Arabidopsis thaliana: one gene and its partners. The protein of the gene in region 1 interacts with the protein of each later gene in a pairwise test. Each region holds a gene or a part of one and is shown in the gene's direction. Other genes may lie near its edges.

The links.
Region 2: the proteins of CRK10 (region 1) and AT2G18480 interact in a protein complementation assay, tested with the Arabidopsis thaliana proteins (one large-scale study listed by BioGRID).
Region 3: the proteins of CRK10 (region 1) and CAT5 interact in a protein complementation assay, tested with the Arabidopsis thaliana proteins (one large-scale study listed by BioGRID).

What each region holds. Positions count from the first base shown.
Region 1 is NC_003075.7:12,135,251-12,143,007, forward strand, and holds CRK10 (cysteine-rich RLK (RECEPTOR-like protein kinase) 10), read left to right. Parts: upstream 1-2,744; 5' UTR 2,745-2,920; coding exon 2,921-3,755; intron 3,756-3,875; coding exon 3,876-4,013; intron 4,014-4,096; coding exon 4,097-4,215; intron 4,216-4,308; coding exon 4,309-4,519; intron 4,520-4,611; coding exon 4,612-4,849; coding exon of another isoform or gene 4,850-4,850; exon of another isoform or gene 4,851-4,981; intron 4,982-4,985; coding exon 4,986-5,136; coding exon of another isoform or gene 5,137-5,196; exon of another isoform or gene 5,197-5,212; coding exon 5,213-5,530; 3' UTR 5,531-5,672; downstream 5,673-7,757. Other genes in the region: EP1 (receptor-like protein kinase-related family protein), read left to right, coding at 1-752; CRK11 (cysteine-rich RLK (RECEPTOR-like protein kinase) 11), read right to left, coding at 5,947-6,243, 6,324-6,483, 6,558-6,795, 6,875-7,085, 7,174-7,295, 7,403-7,534, 7,617-7,757.
Region 2 is NC_003071.7:8,007,028-8,013,740, reverse strand, and holds AT2G18480 (Major facilitator superfamily protein), read left to right. Parts: upstream 1-2,463; 5' UTR 2,464-2,497; coding exon 2,498-2,612; intron 2,613-2,747; coding exon 2,748-4,159; 3' UTR 4,160-4,640; downstream 4,641-6,713. Other genes in the region: PERK4 (roline-rich extensin-like receptor kinase 4), read left to right, coding at 5,974-6,538, 6,606-6,713. UniProt on the Arabidopsis thaliana protein: Plasma membrane sugar-proton symporter.
Region 3 is NC_003071.7:14,741,924-14,748,525, reverse strand, and holds CAT5 (cationic amino acid transporter 5), read left to right. Parts: upstream 1-2,401; 5' UTR 2,402-2,641; coding exon 2,642-4,351; 3' UTR 4,352-4,529; downstream 4,530-6,602. Other genes in the region: AT2G34970 (Trimeric LpxA-like enzyme), read right to left, coding at 1-2,186; VSR5 (VACUOLAR SORTING RECEPTOR 5), read right to left, coding at 5,212-5,298, 5,392-5,498, 5,570-5,698, 5,787-5,850, 5,929-6,011, 6,092-6,173, 6,259-6,335, 6,415-6,498 and 1 more. UniProt on the Arabidopsis thaliana protein: High-affinity permease involved in the transport of the cationic amino acids (e.g. arginine, and, to a lower extent, citrulline and glutamate). Transport mostly basic amino acids, and, to a lower extent neutral and acidic amino acids.

The sequences.
Region 1 (7,757 bases):
TCACTAGCTTCAAAGCTTCCGCTCAAGATCCTTTTTACTTAAATCATTATTGTCCAAATACGACAACTTACTCAAGATTCAGCACTTACTCCACCAATCTCAGAACCCTTTTGTCCTCTTTTGCTTCCCGCAACGCCTCTTACTCCACCGGATTCCAGAACGTCACGGTGGGACAAACCCCCGACCTGGTCACCGGACTTTTCCTCTGCCGCGGAGACCTCTCGCCGGAAGTTTGCAGTAACTGCGTTGCCTTCTCCGTTGACGAAGCGTTAACTAGGTGTCCAAGTCAGAGAGAAGCTGTGTTCTATTACGAGGAGTGTATACTCAGATACTCTGACAAGAATATTCTATCGACGGCCATTACAAACGAAGGAGAATTTATCTTGAGTAACACCAACACTATTTCTCCTAATCAAAGTCAAATAAACCAGTTTATAGTTTTGGTGCAATCTAATATGAACCAAGCTGCCATGGAAGCAGCCAACAGTTCTAGAAAATTCTCTACGATAAAGACCGAATTGACCGAACTCCAGACTTTGTACGGGCTTGTTCAATGCACTCCTGATCTTACAAGTCAAGACTGTTTGAGATGTCTGACAAGATCCATCAATAGAATGCCACTTTCTAGAATTGGAGCAAGACAGTTTTGGCCAAGTTGTAATTCAAGGTACGAGCTTTACTCGTTCTACAACGAAACTACCATTGGAACACCATCTCCACCACCACCACCGTCGCCAAGCAGAGCAAATTGATGTGCTGCTTTTTACGTCGAAGTTTTGGCCAAGTTGTAATTCGTTTTGCTCTGCTTTACAAATTGACGTGTTGCTTTTTCTCTGCGTTTAAAATTGGTATCATCGAAATAAAGTAACTCAGTTTCTTACAATCAAAGAGATAAGGATTGTGAAGCAGCTAATGAGTCTTCTTATTTTGTCTTTACTTCAGTCTTCTCGTCTTTGATAGTGAATTGCTCATCTAGCTTTCTTAATCTTAGACTTGGTCAATGTTTTGGCTTTTCTCATACTAAACCAATTAATACATAAAATATTTAATTTATTTTCTATTACAATTATCTAGATATTTTTAGCTACACGTGATTGAAACGTGTCTCAAGCTACACCAACGCTCTTCCTCACAAACTGAATTCGTCGTCGATAGTGGTTGCTCTTGCTATCTTGATGTTTACTTCGTCTGATCGTTGAACTGGCCCGCTGCAACATTCTGAGTGTTCCAAGTGATTATTCTAGTTGTGCGTAACACCGTAACAGTAAAAATGAGCTAAGGAAAGCGAGATGCAAGGGAGAACCAACAGAAGCATAAGTTTTTCCTCTGTTATTACTAATGGAAAAAAACTTTCTTTTTCATTTTCTAATTCCTTGTCAGATTTCTCAGCTTCTCTTCTTTTTGTTTTGTGTAAGACTTGGTCGGAGTCTTAGATTACGCTGATGATTAAAAACTACTAAAAAAGAAAAAAAAAAGAATATTACGCAAATGTTCTCGATGCATTGACCAAGTCCTCTTCTGGTTCTGGCTCCATTTTCACATGCAGGCCCATAACCAATTTTAACGAGATTTGTTGCATGAAAAGCCGATTGTTTTTCCTTGGCAGTAACGAAAAAAAATTAGTTACTTTTTAAAAACTAGGGTTTTGAATAATATCATTAAAATCAAATAGAACGAACTAGGGTTTTGGCATCATACACCGCCTCATTCAATTATTAACAAAGCTGAGTCTTCTTCACGGAGAAATCACGGCTGAGCTAGGTCTCATATACCTTGCATCAATATCTTGGGCCTTTACTAGGATCGGAGATACATCAAACATAAAATACTTCTCGGTTTTATTTTCTCTTTCCTTATGTATATGTGAATGCCTTTAAAAATTTTGATTGCCTTTTTTCTCGTTTTGGAATAGTCATGAGAAGCTGAGAACCAAAAAGGAAATATTTCTCACCTTTGCAACTAGCTAGATGGAGCTTATGGATGCAAAATTCGTTTTAAAACACATTGTATTCGGATGATGTCAAAATATTTCACATTCATATAGCAAATTCATGTTTATATATTCCGATATTAACTTTAAATATTAAAACTTATATGCTGTAGATTCATATCCGGGTGAAAACACGAAAGGACTTATGATGGAACCATTATATGGAACGACGTCATGTGGAATATCAAGTTATTTAACTTCTCGCGAGTAAGACTATAAAAAGTAATAGAATAATTAGTAACTAACAATATCAGATAACGATAGGCAGATGATTTGGTAATACTATTTTAGTATCACTACATCACAATAACCATACTAGCATATACGATATACAAATTAATAAATTATCGTGCTTAAAACAAAAACCTATTATCAACCAATAATTTCTTCGCATCAGTGGCGACAATTTTTTCAGCCCCAGAATGATTCTTTGAAGAATAGTCAACAAAGATTCCTAATTTCAACAATTCTGTTCAAGGAAAAGTACGAAACAAATTCTACTGCTAGCTAGTTTCTCTCATGTATATCTAAATTCTATTACTAGTAATTAAGATCTTTGAAATCATGCCAACTGCTACATTTATTTTCTCTTGAAAATCCCAACTACCTTTTTTTTGATCAAAAAAAAAAAAGACTTTAGAGTTCAAAGCTTGAATTTAGAGTTATTATGTTTTAAATTTTGACAGTTTTGATAATTTTCTTCATTTTAAAATGATTTTATATTTTCCGTAATTTTTTTCTATATTTCATATATTAAAAAAATAAGTAATGGATTAGTAGCTAAACACAAGAAGTTGGACAAGACCCGACAATTTAATACGAGACGCGTTGACCTTGACCTTGACTTTTCGTCAGCACAAAACGTTATCTACGGTAGTCACTGAGAGAGAACAAACAATCAAATTTGTTTCATATATCACTCAAAGCTTGATGAGAAGAAACACAGATCAAGAAAGCCCAATTATGTCTTATTACTCCTCTTTCTTCTTCCTTTTCCTCTTCTCCTTTCTCACGAGTTTCAGAGTTTCTGCTCAAGATCCCACTTACGTATACCACACCTGTCAAAATACGGCAAATTACACAAGTAACAGCACTTACAACAACAATCTCAAGACCCTTTTGGCTTCTCTTTCTTCCCGCAACGCTTCCTACTCCACCGGATTCCAAAACGCCACCGTCGGCCAAGCTCCAGACAGAGTCACCGGACTTTTCAACTGCCGTGGAGATGTCTCAACGGAAGTTTGCCGTAGATGCGTCTCCTTTGCCGTCAACGACACCTTAACTCGGTGTCCTAACCAGAAAGAAGCCACACTTTATTACGATGAGTGTGTACTTAGATACTCTAACCAGAATATTCTCTCGACACTAATAACCACCGGTGGAGTTATCTTGGTTAACACCCGGAATGTGACATCTAACCAACTAGACCTGTTAAGTGATTTGGTTTTGCCTACTCTGAACCAAGCCGCCACCGTAGCCTTGAACAGTTCCAAAAAATTCGGTACGAGAAAAAACAATTTTACTGCGTTGCAGAGTTTCTATGGACTGGTTCAGTGCACACCTGATCTCACGAGACAAGACTGTTCGCGTTGTCTCCAACTGGTCATCAATCAAATACCTACTGACAGAATTGGTGCAAGAATTATTAATCCGAGCTGTACTTCAAGATACGAGATCTACGCGTTTTACACCGAATCCGCCGTTCCACCACCACCACCACCACCGTCAATTTCTACTCCTCCAGTTTCAGCTCCTCCGCGATCTGGTCAGAGCTCTGTTTTTTTCCTCTGTTTTTTTTTTTTGCCCTGATTTCTTGAAATTGGCAAAACCAATATAGAGAGTTTTCTTCTATCTGATTTTTAAGCAAATAATCTTTGAAATGCAGGAAAAGATGGGAATTCAAAGGTGTTAGTGATAGCCATTGTTGTGCCTATTATAGTGGCTGTTCTGCTTTTTATAGCTGGTTATTGTTTCCTTACAAGAAGGGCAAGGAAGAGTTATTACACACCATCTGCATTTGCTGGTAAAGATTTCAAGTGATAAACGATCTTTAATGTCAATGCTCAGCTTGTTTTTCCTGCTTCAAAGACTTTCATTGTGTAACAGGAGATGATATCACAACAGCAGACTCACTACAGCTTGATTATAGAACAATTCAAACTGCAACAGATGATTTTGTAGAGAGTAATAAGATTGGTCAAGGTGGATTTGGTGAGGTTTACAAGGTAAATTATAGTTCCCTTGAGCTGTGTTTTTTTTTTCTTGAAATTTTAAGCCAACACTTTTGGATAATGGGATGATGCTGATGAAAACAACAGGGTACTTTATCGGATGGGACTGAAGTTGCGGTGAAGCGACTATCAAAGTCATCAGGACAAGGTGAAGTAGAGTTCAAGAACGAGGTTGTTCTTGTTGCAAAGCTACAACATAGAAATCTGGTTAGACTTCTTGGGTTTTGTCTAGACGGAGAAGAAAGAGTACTGGTCTACGAGTATGTGCCCAACAAAAGTCTTGATTACTTCCTCTTTGGTTAGTTGCATTTAATGCTTTGTTTCAATGATTCTTGATACTTGGGGTTACGAATGTTTAGAGATCTCATTGTGATTTATGGATGTGGACAGACCCTGCAAAGAAAGGCCAGCTGGATTGGACTCGACGATACAAGATTATCGGTGGAGTTGCTCGAGGGATTCTGTATCTTCATCAAGACTCACGACTCACAATCATACACCGTGACCTCAAAGCCAGTAACATTCTCTTGGACGCGGATATGAATCCTAAAATTGCAGATTTTGGAATGGCTAGGATCTTTGGATTGGACCAAACCGAAGAGAACACAAGCAGAATAGTTGGTACCTAGTAAGTCTTCCTCATAACTTCTCATAAGTTGAAGTTTTCTGAACATTCTTTTGTTAACATAGTTTTTGTTGTGGGTTTATAAGTTGAAGTTTTCTGAACATCCTTTGGTTAACATAGTTTTTGTTGTGGGTTACAGTGGTTACATGTCTCCCGAGTATGCAATGCATGGTCAGTACTCAATGAAATCTGATGTCTATAGCTTCGGAGTGTTAGTTCTTGAGATTATAAGTGGCAAGAAGAATAGCAGCTTCTACCAAACAGATGGTGCACATGACTTGGTCTCATATGTAAGTTTTAAACCTATCAAGTTCCATATTTACCTGAACATAGTTGCAAGTGTTGATTGATTGAATAATATTCTAGGCTTGGGGGCTTTGGAGTAACGGGCGACCATTAGAACTCGTGGATCCAGCTATTGTAGAAAATTGCCAAAGGAATGAAGTTGTTCGATGTGTCCATATCGGTCTTTTATGTGTTCAAGAAGATCCTGCTGAGCGTCCGACGTTGTCAACCATTGTTCTGATGCTCACTAGTAACACTGTGACTTTACCCGTGCCACGGCAACCCGGTCTTTTCTTTCAGAGTAGAATTGGAAAAGACCCGCTTGATACAGATACAACGAGCAAATCTCTTCTAGGGTCTGTTGACGATGCATCCATCACAGATATACATCCTCGATGATGATGAGTTTTTCCCTTCATACCTGATTCCTGAATCTATTGGTGTTGAAAATAAGTTAAAAACTTCTTTTGTTATAGAATGTTTGTATTGTAATTGTAACCACAAGCAAGTATAAGATATATACCATTTACACGTTTCTCCATGAAGACGTAACAGTGACTTTTCCCTCCAAATTAAGCTTACACAACGATCTAGCAGGTAATTTGATTCAGCATGAAGAGAGTAAAACCAGTAATCGAGAAACGATTCTTAAAGAACTGTGAACTGTTCATAAGCATTTTACAGTGGACACTGTACAACATACAATTACAGATAAACCTGCTATGTTTCTTATGTCCGTGGACAAATAATATAAATGTCATCTGACCATTTTTCTGTTACAACTTTTAAGCTATGATGAGGAACCACATCAATTTTTACGAACTAAATGAGGAAGACTTGCTTGTATACTGATCAGACTCTGATCCTTCAGATACCAGTTTCAGTTGCCTGCTTCGTGGGAAAAATCCCGGTAGGCGAGGCACTGGTAGAGTAATTGTGTTACTAGTCAGCATTAAGATGATTGTTGATAACATTGGACGGTCTTCTGGATTTTCTTGAACACATAACAGCGCGATATGGATGCACCTAGTGACTTCATTACTCTGATAATTCCTTCCAAAAGTTGGATCCACCAGCTCTAATGGTGACTTGTTTCTCCAAAGCCTCGAAGCCTAATACAATGAACAATTAAGTACCTTGGTCATATGTTTTAAAATGTTAAATTGTTGAAAGTTGAGGACTTTATGCTCACATAAGTGACCAAGTTTCCTGCAGTACTAGTTTCATCCATCTGGTAGACGCCGCTGTTTTTCTTGCCGCTTATAATCTCAAGAACTAAGACTCCAAAGCTATAAATGTCAGATTTCATGGAGTATTGACCATGCATCGCATACTCGGGAGACATGTAAGCGCTGAAAAACATACAACACGGGTTAATATGCAATAGAAAATGGTTTAGTGTTCAGCTACTACGAGCAGAACTTACTAGGTTCCAGCAATTCTGTTCGTGTTTCCTTGAGTTTGCTCCACTCCAAAAATAGTTGCCAATCCAAAATCTGCAATTTTTGGGTTCATGTCTGCATCTAAGAGAATGTTGCTGGCTTTGAGGTCACGATGTATGATTTTGAGCCGTGAATCTTGATGAAGATATAGAATCCCTCGAGCAATTCCTCCAATGATCTTGTATCGCCGGGTCCAGTCTAGCTGACTTTGCTTTTCCGGGTCTGCACATATCGACAATCAATCAGTATAAAGCTGAAGCAGGATCCTTTGAATAAGAAAAATTATTGACAGGAACCATACCGAAAAGAAAGTAGTCAAGGCTTTTGTTGTGGACAAATTCATAGATCAGAATCTGTTCCTCTCTTTCCAAACAGAATCCAAGAAGTCTAACCAGATTCCTATGTTGAAGTTTTGTCACAAGAACAGCCTCGTTCCTGAACTCCCTTGTGCCTTGTCCTGACTTTTTCGACAGTCGCTTCACAGCTACATCAGTTCCGTTAGAAAGCTTACCCTACGTACAATGAATGAAACAAACATTGTTGGTTATTTCCATAAACCAATATGAACTTAGAAAAAATGGAAAACAGAGACCTTGTTACCTTGTAAACCGCACCGAATCCACCTTCACCAAGCTTATTACTTGTTGAAAACTTGTTAGTTGCGGCTTCAATTGTCTTAAAATCGTATACCAATGAATCTGTAGTTGAAATATCACTTTCAGCTGCAAAGAATGGGTGTATTAGTTTCGTGTTTCCCGTCTTGGCTACGGGAGTATACATGCTGATAACGAAAGGAAACAATAAAGAGGTAAAACACAAAGAAACTAACATTCAGTCTTAGTTCTTTGGTAGGATTTTCTTCTCCGGAAAAGAACAAATCCTAAAACCAGCAGTATCAAGATGGCAATAACAGTGGGAACGGTGATCGCCACAACAACTCCAGCTGAGATTCCTTTGCTATCTTCTCACAACACATAGAAAAACAATGTCATATATTTAAGTTTTTTTGTTACAATGATAGTTTTCTCAGGTGGAAGACTAACCATTGTTGGTCGGGTTGTCCTGATCACCTGCAGGTTGTGGCACAGTCACAGGAGGTTCTGGAGGAGGAGAAGCCACCGTAAGATTATCAAAAGCGTTAGAATATGTATACAAATCCCACCGCAAAAAGCAGCTTGGCCGCA
Region 2 (6,713 bases), on another chromosome or scaffold:
TTGGTGAAACTTTTGAATAAAGTAATAAGACCTACCCATATGATGATCTAACCTACCCAAGTTATCACTTGTATCGGAAAGTCCCCAAACTTATCTTTCTGGTTGTGTCGGCCAAATGTATCCCAACTAATACACACAATTTCACTTTGAATTTCTCTTTCTCTTCTTCCAGAAGATTTCTCCTTCTATCGTTGACCTAAATGATTGATCTGTCTTGGTTATTTTGTCACACGATGTGTATGCCAATCAGCTTTGGACTACAATGCATGTTAAGGTTCGTACTAAAAAAAACTCAGCATGAAGAATGTTGGTTCGAGGACTTAAATTCTGATCTGACGTAGCTAGTCTATCGATTATCTGCCTTTAAACCAAAGCTTTTTGGATTAAAGATAGGTAATCCGTGCGTTGAAGGTATATCATTTTCTTACCCAACAAATTCATTTAACCTCATAGTATAAATTTCGTTTGGTTTTGATTTTTGATAGCGACAATATATGCCTTTTCAATTAAAAGTGAAAAGAAAAAAACGCATGCCATTTACTTGTTTGAGTAAGTTACTCATTATGGTATATGCTCTTCAAGAAAACAAATCAAATACTACTTTTTCGTCACGTATCTTTCTTTTTCAGCTCACCAAAATATAACTTTCAAGGAATCATATCAAAACTTTACTATTTACATGGATTTTGTGCATTTGCATAATTTACGTATACAAATCCCAAAGGTTAGCGTTTTTGCCAACTATATATATAGATACTAGCTAGATGATTATCCAGATTTACTTCTTCTTTTTTAATAATATATATATCGTATATCCATTAAATGTGTAAACCTTTACTTCTAACAGATTTAGAGATCTATAAAACGTATACACTAAGAATTATTTAGAAAAACTAGAAGTTTGAAATAAGTTATTGTCTCTCTAATACACCAATATTGCTTCTTATGTTCATTACAATTTTACAAATGTATGCTTACCAGATTACAAAAGCATGTTGAAAATTCGAAGTTATGATACCAATTTATTAGTAGCGAATGTAAAAAAGACTAAACATAAATTGGACGTAGTCCACCAAGATATATAATGTTATAATTAGCGGGGTAAAATATTGATTTAATACTGGAGGCGTAATAACATCTTGTTTCAGAATTCCAACAACGTACGAGTAAGAAAAACAAAAATACAGTTCTCAACAGACTAATTGGACGTAAAACTCTAGGCCAGCCAAACTGACAAAGCATATGACAAAAATATAAATGATAGAATTGGCAATTTCAGAATTTTCCATCGATCATGCTAAAATGAACATTAGTTGGAACCCAAAAACATTTTTGTTTATCTTGCACATACAAACAGAGCTATAGGTTACGTTATGACTTATGATGTTCTGATTTATTGATCAAATCACACATCAGTTTTTTCCCAACAGATATCAATTTCATTATGTAATGATACATATAGTCTGATAGTATTATTCGTCTGTTGAGAACAACGGCTTTTTGTTGGATACAAGTTTTTTTGTTTCGTCAAAACAAGTTTAATTTTGGACTTCATCACTTCAATAAGAAAAAGAAACCAACTGAAAATAAATGCACCGTATAAATTTAGTTCACCAAATTATATAAATGTGGAAAAGAATCTTTAAAGGTTACGCCACTATTGAACATAGATCAGGAAAATGCCGAAAGTGAAGAAGATGGCGACTTTTAACTTACAATATTAGCAATATTTTTGGTCATATCGTATTAAAATTGATGACCTACCATTTAAAAATGGTGGATATAACTTCTTCTAGCATATGTTACTATAATGAATGATCAATTCTGAATTCTCATACATATGACTTCACAACGGAAACTTTTTGCTTTAGAGTTTCATAAATAGTTTACGACATACAATTTTTCATGCATTCCACTCACGAGAACAACTTTATACGTAACATGCAATTGCAAAACTACAATAATCGGGTTTACATGTAACATAGCATCTAATAAAAATCTTCACTTCCTTTATTAAAAAATAATAAAAATTGAAAACAAGAAGACCAAGTTCAAGTTCAACGAAGGTCGTCACAAATTATTTGAAGACCGTGTGCGAAACCATTTTTTAAACTCATTGTAACCTTTTAATTATTATTTTAACTTACGTATGTATTGGTTAAAACTTAAAACACTTGCCTGATTACACTACTTTTTTTTTTTGTTGGAAATCTTTTCAATTTATTTTGCTCGATATACTTCTCAGGTTGTATACGTCTAAATCTTGAGGAAAATTCATATCTTGCAGAAATATAATTCTCGTACCAGAATACGTGGGCACCCACAAACACTGTGGAACAACAGTAGAAGTTTTTGATCGTCATTGTTCCACTATGGATGCAAGTGGTGGACATATATAGTTATGTGTATATATATACTAGTAAATGCACACAATCGATATAACAAGTTATTCTAAAATTTAACCCAAAAAAAAAAAAAGAGAAGAAAAAGACTCAACATGGTTCATGCTGATGGTCATAATTTTCCCGGTTCGGATCCAAACCCTCATATGAACAAGTTCGCTTTCGGGTGTGCCATTGTTGCTTCCATCATTTCTATCATCTTTGGATATGGTAACATACTAACATTCTCTACATATCAAACAAAAGTTTTCTACATATATCATATAAAGATATATTCAATGGAATTATATTAATGATTTTATATTAACGAATATTTTTTTTTTTGTAATGGTGTGTTGTCCTTAGATACGGGAGTTATGAGCGGAGCTCAGATATTTATAAGAGATGATCTAAAAATAAACGACACTCAGATTGAAGTTTTGGCCGGAATCTTGAATCTTTGTGCACTCGTCGGATCACTAACGGCGGGGAAAACGTCTGACGTCATCGGCCGACGTTACACCATAGCTCTCTCCGCCGTGATATTCTTAGTGGGCTCAGTTCTTATGGGTTACGGCCCAAACTATCCTGTTTTGATGGTCGGACGATGTATTGCCGGAGTTGGTGTAGGGTTTGCTCTCATGATAGCTCCGGTTTACTCTGCCGAGATATCCTCTGCGTCACATAGAGGCTTTCTCACTTCTCTACCTGAGCTTTGTATTAGTCTTGGGATTTTACTAGGCTATGTCTCGAATTACTGTTTTGGGAAACTGACGTTGAAACTTGGATGGAGATTGATGCTTGGAATCGCAGCGTTCCCGTCTTTGATATTGGCTTTTGGGATTACAAGAATGCCCGAGTCGCCGAGGTGGCTTGTGATGCAAGGTAGGTTAGAAGAAGCCAAGAAAATAATGGTTTTGGTATCCAATACGGAAGAAGAAGCTGAAGAACGGTTCAGAGACATCTTAACCGCTGCGGAAGTAGATGTGACAGAGATAAAAGAAGTTGGTGGCGGCGTTAAGAAGAAGAATCACGGTAAAAGTGTTTGGAGGGAGTTGGTGATAAAACCGCGACCTGCGGTGCGTTTGATCTTGATAGCGGCCGTTGGGATACACTTTTTCGAGCATGCGACGGGGATTGAGGCCGTCGTGTTGTACAGCCCGAGAATTTTCAAGAAAGCCGGAGTTGTTTCGAAAGACAAGCTCTTACTAGCCACGGTCGGTGTAGGTTTAACTAAGGCCTTTTTCATAATAATAGCCACTTTCTTGCTCGACAAGGTAGGTCGTAGAAAGCTCCTGTTGACCAGTACGGGTGGGATGGTCTTCGCATTGACCAGTTTAGCGGTTAGTCTCACGATGGTTCAGCGATTTGGGCGGTTAGCGTGGGCATTGAGTTTAAGCATCGTCTCTACGTATGCATTTGTAGCTTTTTTCTCCATAGGGCTTGGACCTATCACATGGGTGTACAGCTCCGAGATATTCCCGTTGAGACTTAGGGCTCAGGGAGCGAGTATAGGTGTTGCGGTTAATAGGATCATGAACGCGACGGTCTCAATGAGTTTTCTGTCGATGACGAAGGCGATCACGACAGGGGGCGTGTTCTTCGTATTCGCCGGAATAGCGGTGGCGGCATGGTGGTTCTTCTTCTTTATGTTGCCGGAGACGAAAGGATTGCCATTGGAGGAGATGGAGAAGCTTTTTGGTGGTGGGGGTCCTCGTGGTGATCGTGACGGACTTGAGATTCAAACTAAAACCATCTCTATTGGGGGTTTCTCATAAGAGTTTCTCACAATTAAAAAAATAAAAATAATAAAAATGAAGGAGAGAGAGTGTAGAAAGATTCTCAGAAACTTTGAGATACTCTCTACAACCCATCATGACAATTCGCTTCTCACTATTGGTTCAACTTTTTAACAAAAATATTTTTTTAATCAAAAATTCAAATTATAATATAATATTAATTTTTTTTTGTTTGAGAAACTTTGTGGGTTTCTCATGGATGGAGATGCCCTTAGAGAGTCAATAATTAGGTTAGATTATCATGGCTATGTAGAATAATTTTTAAATCCAACATGATTTGGCATATCTATTATAAGGTGTGATTTTTTGTAAAGGACAAAGTATGATTTTTATATTCATCCCTTTTTACTGTAGCTAATGAGAATCTACAACCTAATAAAAAACAATAACAATTATTTAATTATAAAATCTAATAGTTCACCAAAACAAAATCATATATCGGTTTGGATTTATAAGAGAGGGTTAAAGTTTAAATTTTATGATTAAACGAAGTTAAATACCAGTTTAGGTTTATAAACGATTTTAGATTTTAGAATCAAACGAGGTTAAATGTCGGTTTAGAGTTATAAACGGGTTTGGATTTTACAATTAGATGAGGTTAAATGTCGGTTTGAGTTTTAGAAAGAACGATTTAAGTTTAGATTTTACAATTAATCGAGTTTAAATGTCGGTTTGGATTTACAAAATAGAATTAGAGTTTAAATTTTGTAATTAAACAAAATTATATATCGGTTTGAGTTTATGAAATAGTGGTTAAGATTATAGATTTTATAATTAAATGAGTTTATTTATTTATTAGGTGACATATTCTAATTGGCTGAAAGAGGTGAATGAAAAGGTGAACCAAGAATTGTTCGATTTTTAACTACACATCTAATTCTAGACTCTAGAGTATGCATATTAATGTTTCCAGAGATCAGAAAGTGCTTAAACAAAACATATTGATCACTTCATGGTTTTTAAGTCTTAGTTTAATTGATGGAAAGGAGAGGATTACCAATACTGAAGTAGAGTCATAGTTGATATTTGAGGGGTGAGAACCCTGAGATTCGTAAAGAAATCGATGAACTTGTGCGTGAAGAAATTAGTTTGATCATGCTCAAAGGTCTAAATAATAAAAAACCTTGACATTTGTTCCCAATTGAAGTCCTTTAATTGTGAGAAAAATTATGTTGCTCTAGAGCAATATTGAAGAAAAAGGAGACATATCACATATGGGAAGACCTGAGGAGCAATGATTTGATTTGACGGACCAAAATAAACCAGAGATTTTCCTGACAAATTAAGGTAATAATGCATGAGGTTACGTGGAAATGAATCAACAATCGTTAGCTCCTAATATCACGGAGCCAAAAAGAGAAAAATTAGACCGGAGATTATTACAATTAGTAACTAACACAAAACTGTTATTAAGACAGAAAGAGAGAGAAGAGGCATGTTTCTCGGAATGAAGACAGAGCAAATCTCAATCTTCCTTTTTCACCTTATTCCTATTATCATTTTCTGATCAAATGTTCAAAAACTCTCTCCCCTTAATCTCTTCCTCTAAGGTACACACTTTCATGCTAATCTCTTAACTAATTTTGTATTAATCTCTTATATTTAGCATTACCTGTTTTGTTAACGATCTAACGAACATAATAAGACAAGAACTTGTTCCAACGTTAACACCATTTTGATTATGATCTGTTTTTTCTACGTGTTGTTGTTGTTGTTCTCAGAATAATTGAGTGGTTAAGGGAGAGAGGAGACGGAGAGTTTTTATTTTCGTTACCGGAAAATTTTGATCTCCGATGGCTTCTTCTCCTGAATCTGCTCCTCCAACAAACTCCACCTCTTCTCCATCTCCACCGTCTAATACCAATTCAACCACCTCTTCTCCGCCGGCTCCGTCTCCTCCTTCTCCTACACCTCCTCAAGGAGACTCATCATCATCGCCACCTCCTGATTCCACATCTCCACCAGCTCCACAAGCTCCTAACCCTCCTAATTCCTCTAATAACTCTCCTTCCCCTCCGTCACAGGGCGGTGGAGGAGAAAGAGGAAATGGAGGAAACAATGGTGGCAATGATACTCCACCGTCACGCGGCTCTCCTCCTTCTCCTCCTTCTAGGAGTAATGGAGATAATGGTGGTAGCAGATCATCGCCACCAGGAGACACTGGAGGCTCTCGCTCAGACAACCCTCCTTCTAGCGGAGGAAGCAGTGGAGGAGGTGGAGGTGGAAGAAGTAATACGAATACAGCGATCATAGTTGGTGTATTAGTCGGAGCTGGACTTTTGATGATCGTTCTTATTATTGTGTGTCTTAGACGCAAAAAGAAGAGAAAAGACTCCTTCTACCCTGAACCCATGAAAGGTAAAAACATATACACACTCTTATGTTTCAACAAATAAGAAGCTTAGATTCTTTCATAAAATTTCAGGAAACCAATATCAATACTATGGAAACAACAACAACAACAATGCTTCACAGAATTATCCGAATTGGCACCTAAATTCACAAGGCCAAAACCAACAATCTACTGGTGGTT
Region 3 (6,602 bases), on another chromosome or scaffold:
TCTTCTTCTTCTTCTTCATCTTCATCATCTTCATCTTCCTCCTCAGATGCTTCTTTGAGCCACTGTATGAATGTATCACATTGTTTCAGATATACTTTGTCAGCTTCATCCGCGCCTGCCTTCTCTTCCTCCCATCTCAGTATCGCATCTTCTTGCAACACGTCCTTGTCATATAGAAGATGTAGAATTTGTGTGAACAAAGGGCCCAACTCTTTGTGAGATTCCTGACACATCTCTTCAAATTTCATGATCACTTCTATCTGTTCATCAATTTTCTTTGCGTAGAAGCCAAGAAGATCCTTCCATTTTGTAATGATACTCGCTGCGTTTTTATACAACTCACTACCAGAATTGTGTGGAGTATCAAGTGCCAGTTTTATCATCGAGAAAAATGTTGCTCCAGCACAATCTGCAGATTCCATGTTGAATGACAACCGCAGCCCGTTAATCTCCATAGTTACAAGGTCCACTTTGATATTCTCTTCAACAGCCCTTAAGACGGTCCCTTCAACCTCTTTCTCAAAGTAATAGTAATCATCATTGGGATCATTCACATCAGTGTTAATACTATCAGCATCAGATTTCAACTCTCCAGAAGTCGGGACGACACTTTCATCATCTGTGTCATCATCGTCTATGGCCTGAGTAATCTCAGAAAGTTTATCCTTGGGGATTGGTGCAACAGAATGCTTCCACTCCTCATCATGAGCCCCTTCACATACTTCCCATATGTAACCTGCTCCATCAGGACCAAGCTCAGATGCTTTGGACTCCATTTGCAGATTTAGGCCTGACAAATGATCCGCAGTCCCGCTGCTACTATCAGCATATTCCAGCTCTTCATCACTGTCTTCTGTCGTTGGCTGTTGAAGTAGGGAAACCTTTGAGTATGCAGGCACAACAAAGTCCCGTCCAACTACAACATTGAAAGACAAAACAACACCAGGCTGCAGAACAGCTCCTGCTCTGATTTTCACCCCATCACACACAATAGCGTTCCTTATCTCACACCCATCTTCAATAGTAACATTGTTCCATATGTATGAGCCTTCAATCACCACATTTGATCCAATAGAGCATCCATTCCCAATAACCGAGTTCATGATTTTATCCCCATGACCAATTTTCGTACCGTATCCAATGACAGTAGAAGCTCCAACATCAGCAGATCGTGATTGAACTACATCAGAAGCCTTGTATATCCCTTGTCTCCCGAGCTTTAGAGGCCGATTTCCACTGAAATTAATATCTGGTACATAAGGATATGTCCACCTCTGAATTATATCCTTGCTAACAGTGTCATAGCTTCGGAAATTATCAATCCTACCAGCATAGCTCGAGTGAATCTCATGAGTGAAGATTTTATAACCCATAATATCATCCACAAGCACACCTTTGACAAAATGACGACGCAGATGTTGATAATCAAAGTTATCCTCAAAGAGACTAAGCACTTCAGGAGAACATATGTCAATGTAGCAATCCTGCATATCATTGCATACTAAAACAGAAGGATTAGTATCCAACAATGACTTCTCTAAGCAAACTGACCCACTTGGATGATCAATCTTATCTTCCTCGTAATGAAGAAGCTGCTTTGTCAAAGGATCAACAGCAATGAAAAGCTGATCTGTTCCTAATCTTGACTGATGCGTAAGTGGAGAAGATTTAGACTGCTTAATAACCATAGTCATAATAGCTTTCTCATCTTTCTTCTTCCTCTCTCTATGCTCTTGAATCAAATCAGCAAGTGGCATATTACTCACAGTATCTCCACTAACAAGAACGAAATCACCTTGAATCTGAGACGTCTCTGTCTGTTGTTCATACATGTAACGCAAAGCATCTCCAGCACTGATGGATTTGTGCGACTCAATCGTTCTCACAAGCAAGTTTGGATGCGAATACCACTCGGATTTCTCCAGATATTCGATAACCTGCATCGAATGAGCACAACAGAAGACGAAAACCTCCTCTATTCCAGCAGATTCGAGCCATGCCAATGTGTAATCAATCATCGGAACATTAACTATCGGTAACAGTACCTTTGGGCGTTCTAGGGTTACGGGACGAAATTTCGTGGCGAAACTGTCGGCAAGAAGAATTGCTTGCAATCGGTGGCGACTCTGTACCTCCGCATCCTCTGAAACCCTAGCGGCGGCGCCGCCTTTCTTCTGAGCACCCATATCTCCTCCTCTCTCACTGATCAAATTCGATCTCACGGGAAAATCTAAAACCCTGAGTATAAACTGAAGTTAATTTATGACGAATTGAGAAAAGAGGATTAAATGTACATCTTTTAAAAATCTGAAGGACTAATATGACAATTTATCATTTTACAGCCCCCTAAGAGTAAAAAAGCACTGAATTATGTATGTTATCATCATGAATTTTCATGGTTGAAGTACTAAACGAAACGGTAAGAAGACGCCAATAAAGACAATGAGAGTTATGAAGGTGACGTAGCAAATCTAACAAGTGGGGAGGTTTATGAATGGACAGTACACAAAGTTGAGGAAAGTCAGGGAAGCTGCAAAAATACAAAAAAACTGTCTGAAACTTCTACTAGTCAAACAATGGAACAAAATTAGATGGTGTCTCTTTAGCTCTTCTTCATTAACAAATCTTTGAAGCAGAGAGAATGGAAGGTGAAGAGAGAGGATACTGGAGATGGAGCAAGAGAGATTTCTTTCCTGAGGAATCTTTCCAGAGCTTTGGTAGTTACAGAGCTGCTCTGTCTCAGACATGTTCCAGGTTCAAGAACAGGTTGGTTAGTAGGTCTGATGATGAGAACGAGCGGTTTGAGCTCAAGAAACAGAGTGAGCACGAGATGAAACGGTGTTTGACATGGTGGGATTTAGTATGGTTTGGATTCGGGTCGGTGATTGGAGCTGGAATCTTTGTCTTGACAGGTCAAGAAGCTCATGAGCAAGCAGGACCAGCTATTGTCTTGTCTTATGTTGTTTCAGGTCTTTCTGCTATGCTCTCTGTCTTCTGCTACACGGAATTCGCTGTGGAAATCCCTGTGGCTGGTGGTTCTTTCGCCTATCTACGGATTGAGCTTGGGGATTTTGCGGCGTTCATCACTGCAGGGAATATACTTCTTGAGAGTATTGTTGGAACTGCAGCTGTTGCTAGAGCCTGGACTTCATATTTTGCAACTCTTCTGAATCGTAGCCCGAACGCTCTACGGATCAAAACAGATCTCAGTTCCGGTTTTAATCTCTTGGACCCAATAGCTGTTGTTGTTATAGCCGCTTCAGCTACAATTGCATCGATCAGCACAAGAAAGACTTCATTGCTCAACTGGATAGCTTCTGCTATCAACACTTTAGTGATATTTTTTGTTATAATCGCTGGTTTTATCCACGCCGACACATCAAATTTGACTCCATTCTTGCCTTTTGGACCTGAGGGAGTGTTCCGAGCAGCTGCAGTTGTGTACTTTGCATATGGAGGATTTGATAGCATAGCAACAATGGCTGAAGAAACCAAGAATCCATCAAGAGACATACCAATCGGGTTACTCGGTTCAATGTCGATAATAACAGTGATATACTGCTTGATGGCATTATCCTTGAGTATGATGCAGAAGTATACAGATATAGATCCAAATGCAGCTTACTCAGTAGCGTTTCAGAGCGTTGGAATGAAATGGGGAAAGTACTTGGTGGCACTTGGTGCTCTCAAAGGGATGACCACAGTTCTTTTAGTAGGAGCATTGGGACAAGCGAGATACGTTACTCACATCGCACGGACCCACATGATTCCGCCTATATTTGCCCTTGTCCATCCCAAAACAGGAACACCGATAAACGCTAACCTCCTAGTAGCAATTCCAAGTGCTCTCATTGCTTTCTTTTCTGGTTTAGATGTTTTGGCAAGCCTCTTATCGATAAGTACTCTCTTCATCTTCACAATGATGCCTATCGCACTACTCGTGAGGAGATACTACGTGAGACAAGATACTCCAAGAGTTCATCTCATTAAGCTCATCACTTGTCTCTTATTCGTCGTTGTTTCTTCAATGGGTACTTCGGCGTATTGGGGAATGCAGCGCAAGGGATCATGGATCGGTTACACAGTAACAGTTCCTTTCTGGTTCTTGGGAACTTTGGGGATCGTATTCTTTGTTCCTCAGCAACGAACACCGAAAGTGTGGGGCGTACCGTTAGTGCCATGGCTCCCGTGCTTATCAATAGCAACAAACATCTTTCTCATGGGATCTTTGGGAGCAATGGCTTTTGTAAGGTTTGGTGTTTGCACTTTAGCCATGTTACTATACTATTTCCTGCTTGGTCTTCATGCAACATTCGATATGGCTCATCAGCAAATTGTGCCAAGAACATAACAACTATGGAAAACAGAGAAGAAATGTAACCTCTGAAAAGGTCTCTTCCTTCCACCCTAGTGTTATTCTGCTTTCTTCATGAACTGCTTCGTTCTGTATTCTCTGTAATCTGCAAAAAGTAAAGTTTGTATATATAAGAAAAGTCTTTTTCACAAGGACTCTTTATCAAAACATGAAATAGAGTTAAGTACACTGAATCCAAACTATGTTGCAAAATTGTTCTCTCAGGCTCCATTCTCGTCATTTAGAGTTCAAATCAACCAGTTTCGAAATCCTCTGCAACCTAAATTGACTTCATCCAGTTATCTCAAATCTGTTACTAAATTAGTTACATTGATCAAAATGTACAACGCAAGTGGCATTAAGATAGCAACAGCATCACAGCATTCAGAAACATAAGAAGACAAAGACTTACCAGTACGTTGACGATGAACTCTAAAGAATGAACTAATCCACGTCATTGGTCCAAATATAGGTCAAAACTCAAGGGAATATTAGCGTTTAGGGTCAGAAAAAACAAATTGAACTTGAAGGATCAGAGGAGGACGAACACTGAGCAGAGAGATGGTACTTGTATTCATATGTTTGAAAGGATATTTATTTAAAAACAGGACAGGTAAGCAAAAGCTTTCATAGCTCAGTTGGTTAGAGCACCCGTTTAGTAAGCGGGAGGTCTTGAGTTCAACTCTCAATGAAAGCAATAATCTCTTTTTTAGTTTTTAACTTACGTAATTTTAAACTTTTTGCATAAATCTTTCAAATCCTTAAATAAACGCCTCAAAATTTTGATTCTTTACAAAAAGGACCCATATAACAAGATTCAACAATCTTCATTTGAGATGACAAGAGTTCCTATATATTTACTTAAAAGAGTCTTGGTTAATGCTTTGGCTATCGAGTGGTATGTACTGAGACATAATGGACACGATCTCTGAATCCATGTATGACTGCAAAGTTGTAGTTTTAATGTATATATAAAAGGATCGTTAGAGTTTGATGCAAAGGGTAAGTCATAATAATTAGTAGCAAAGTGACATTACCTGAAGATGGTACTTGTAGAATATATAAGCACCTAAAGAGATACCCGCGATGGCGGTTAGAACCACAATTGTGAACAACCCTCTGCTTCTTGATCCACTTCTTCTCTCTGCACATGTTTACATTGAGATTTTCCTTCTAATAATATCTGAAAATAGTTTTACATCGTTTTCAACATACCGATACAAGTGTCCTCTTCTTTCATGTAGATACTATTGTTAGAACATTTGCATTCATATCCTCCCCAATTGTTCTTGCATTTGCAGCCATCACATTTACAAGCTGATTTCTCTTTGCATTCATCAATGTCTAGTTATTAGGAAGCAATAAAGATTGGTCAGAGACAATGTCAAGGAAACTCTGATGTTACTATGACAAATTGTCGAAACAATTTCACCTTCACATTTTAGACCATCTCCAAGGAAACCTAGAGGGCAACGACATCCTGATGTCTCTGAGTCCTACATCAAACAAATACAAAAGGTAAGAAAAAGTCTCAAACTTCAGCAAAGTGGAAGAAAAAGCAGCAGTCACTTAACTGAACAAGAAGAGAAAGTTAGACCCTTTCTGGTTTCAGACCAGCAGTCTCCATTGTTCATTGAACATCTCGCAGGTCCATAAGCTGTTTCACAAACTTTGTTAAGATCATTGAACAAAAATGTGCAATGAGATATATTAAAAAGAGAAGATTCAAAAACATACGTTTGCAGGAGGTATAACCATCTCCTTTATATTGAACACCATCGACAACCGGGCACTCACATACTCTTCCCCTAAATGTGTCCTGAAAACAATTCATATAATCTAATAAAGAAGATATGATATAGACTGATAAAGTTATTGGTATACCGCTCCTTATCACGAAATACCTTGCAAGCAGTTACATTGGATCTTTTGTCTTGCCAACATCCTCCATTTTCTATAAGACATTCATTGGTCTCTATATCTGTTTTAGAATGGATCAAAAAGAAATTAAGAGTGTTCTTCACAGAATGCGACTATCTTTATCTAGGAAGTTACTTGACCTGAATTCAAACATATTGACGGTTCTGTTCTTTCCTTGAATCCTGAACATATAGCCTTCAGCACCGCGGTTCTCTCCAGTTTACCTGAGCATGGAACAGATTAAGATTCTAAAACCGTCAAACTTTGTGATTATCGGTGAGAAGGACGAGCTTACCGCGATATTGAGCATTGTTGATCATTAATGTAG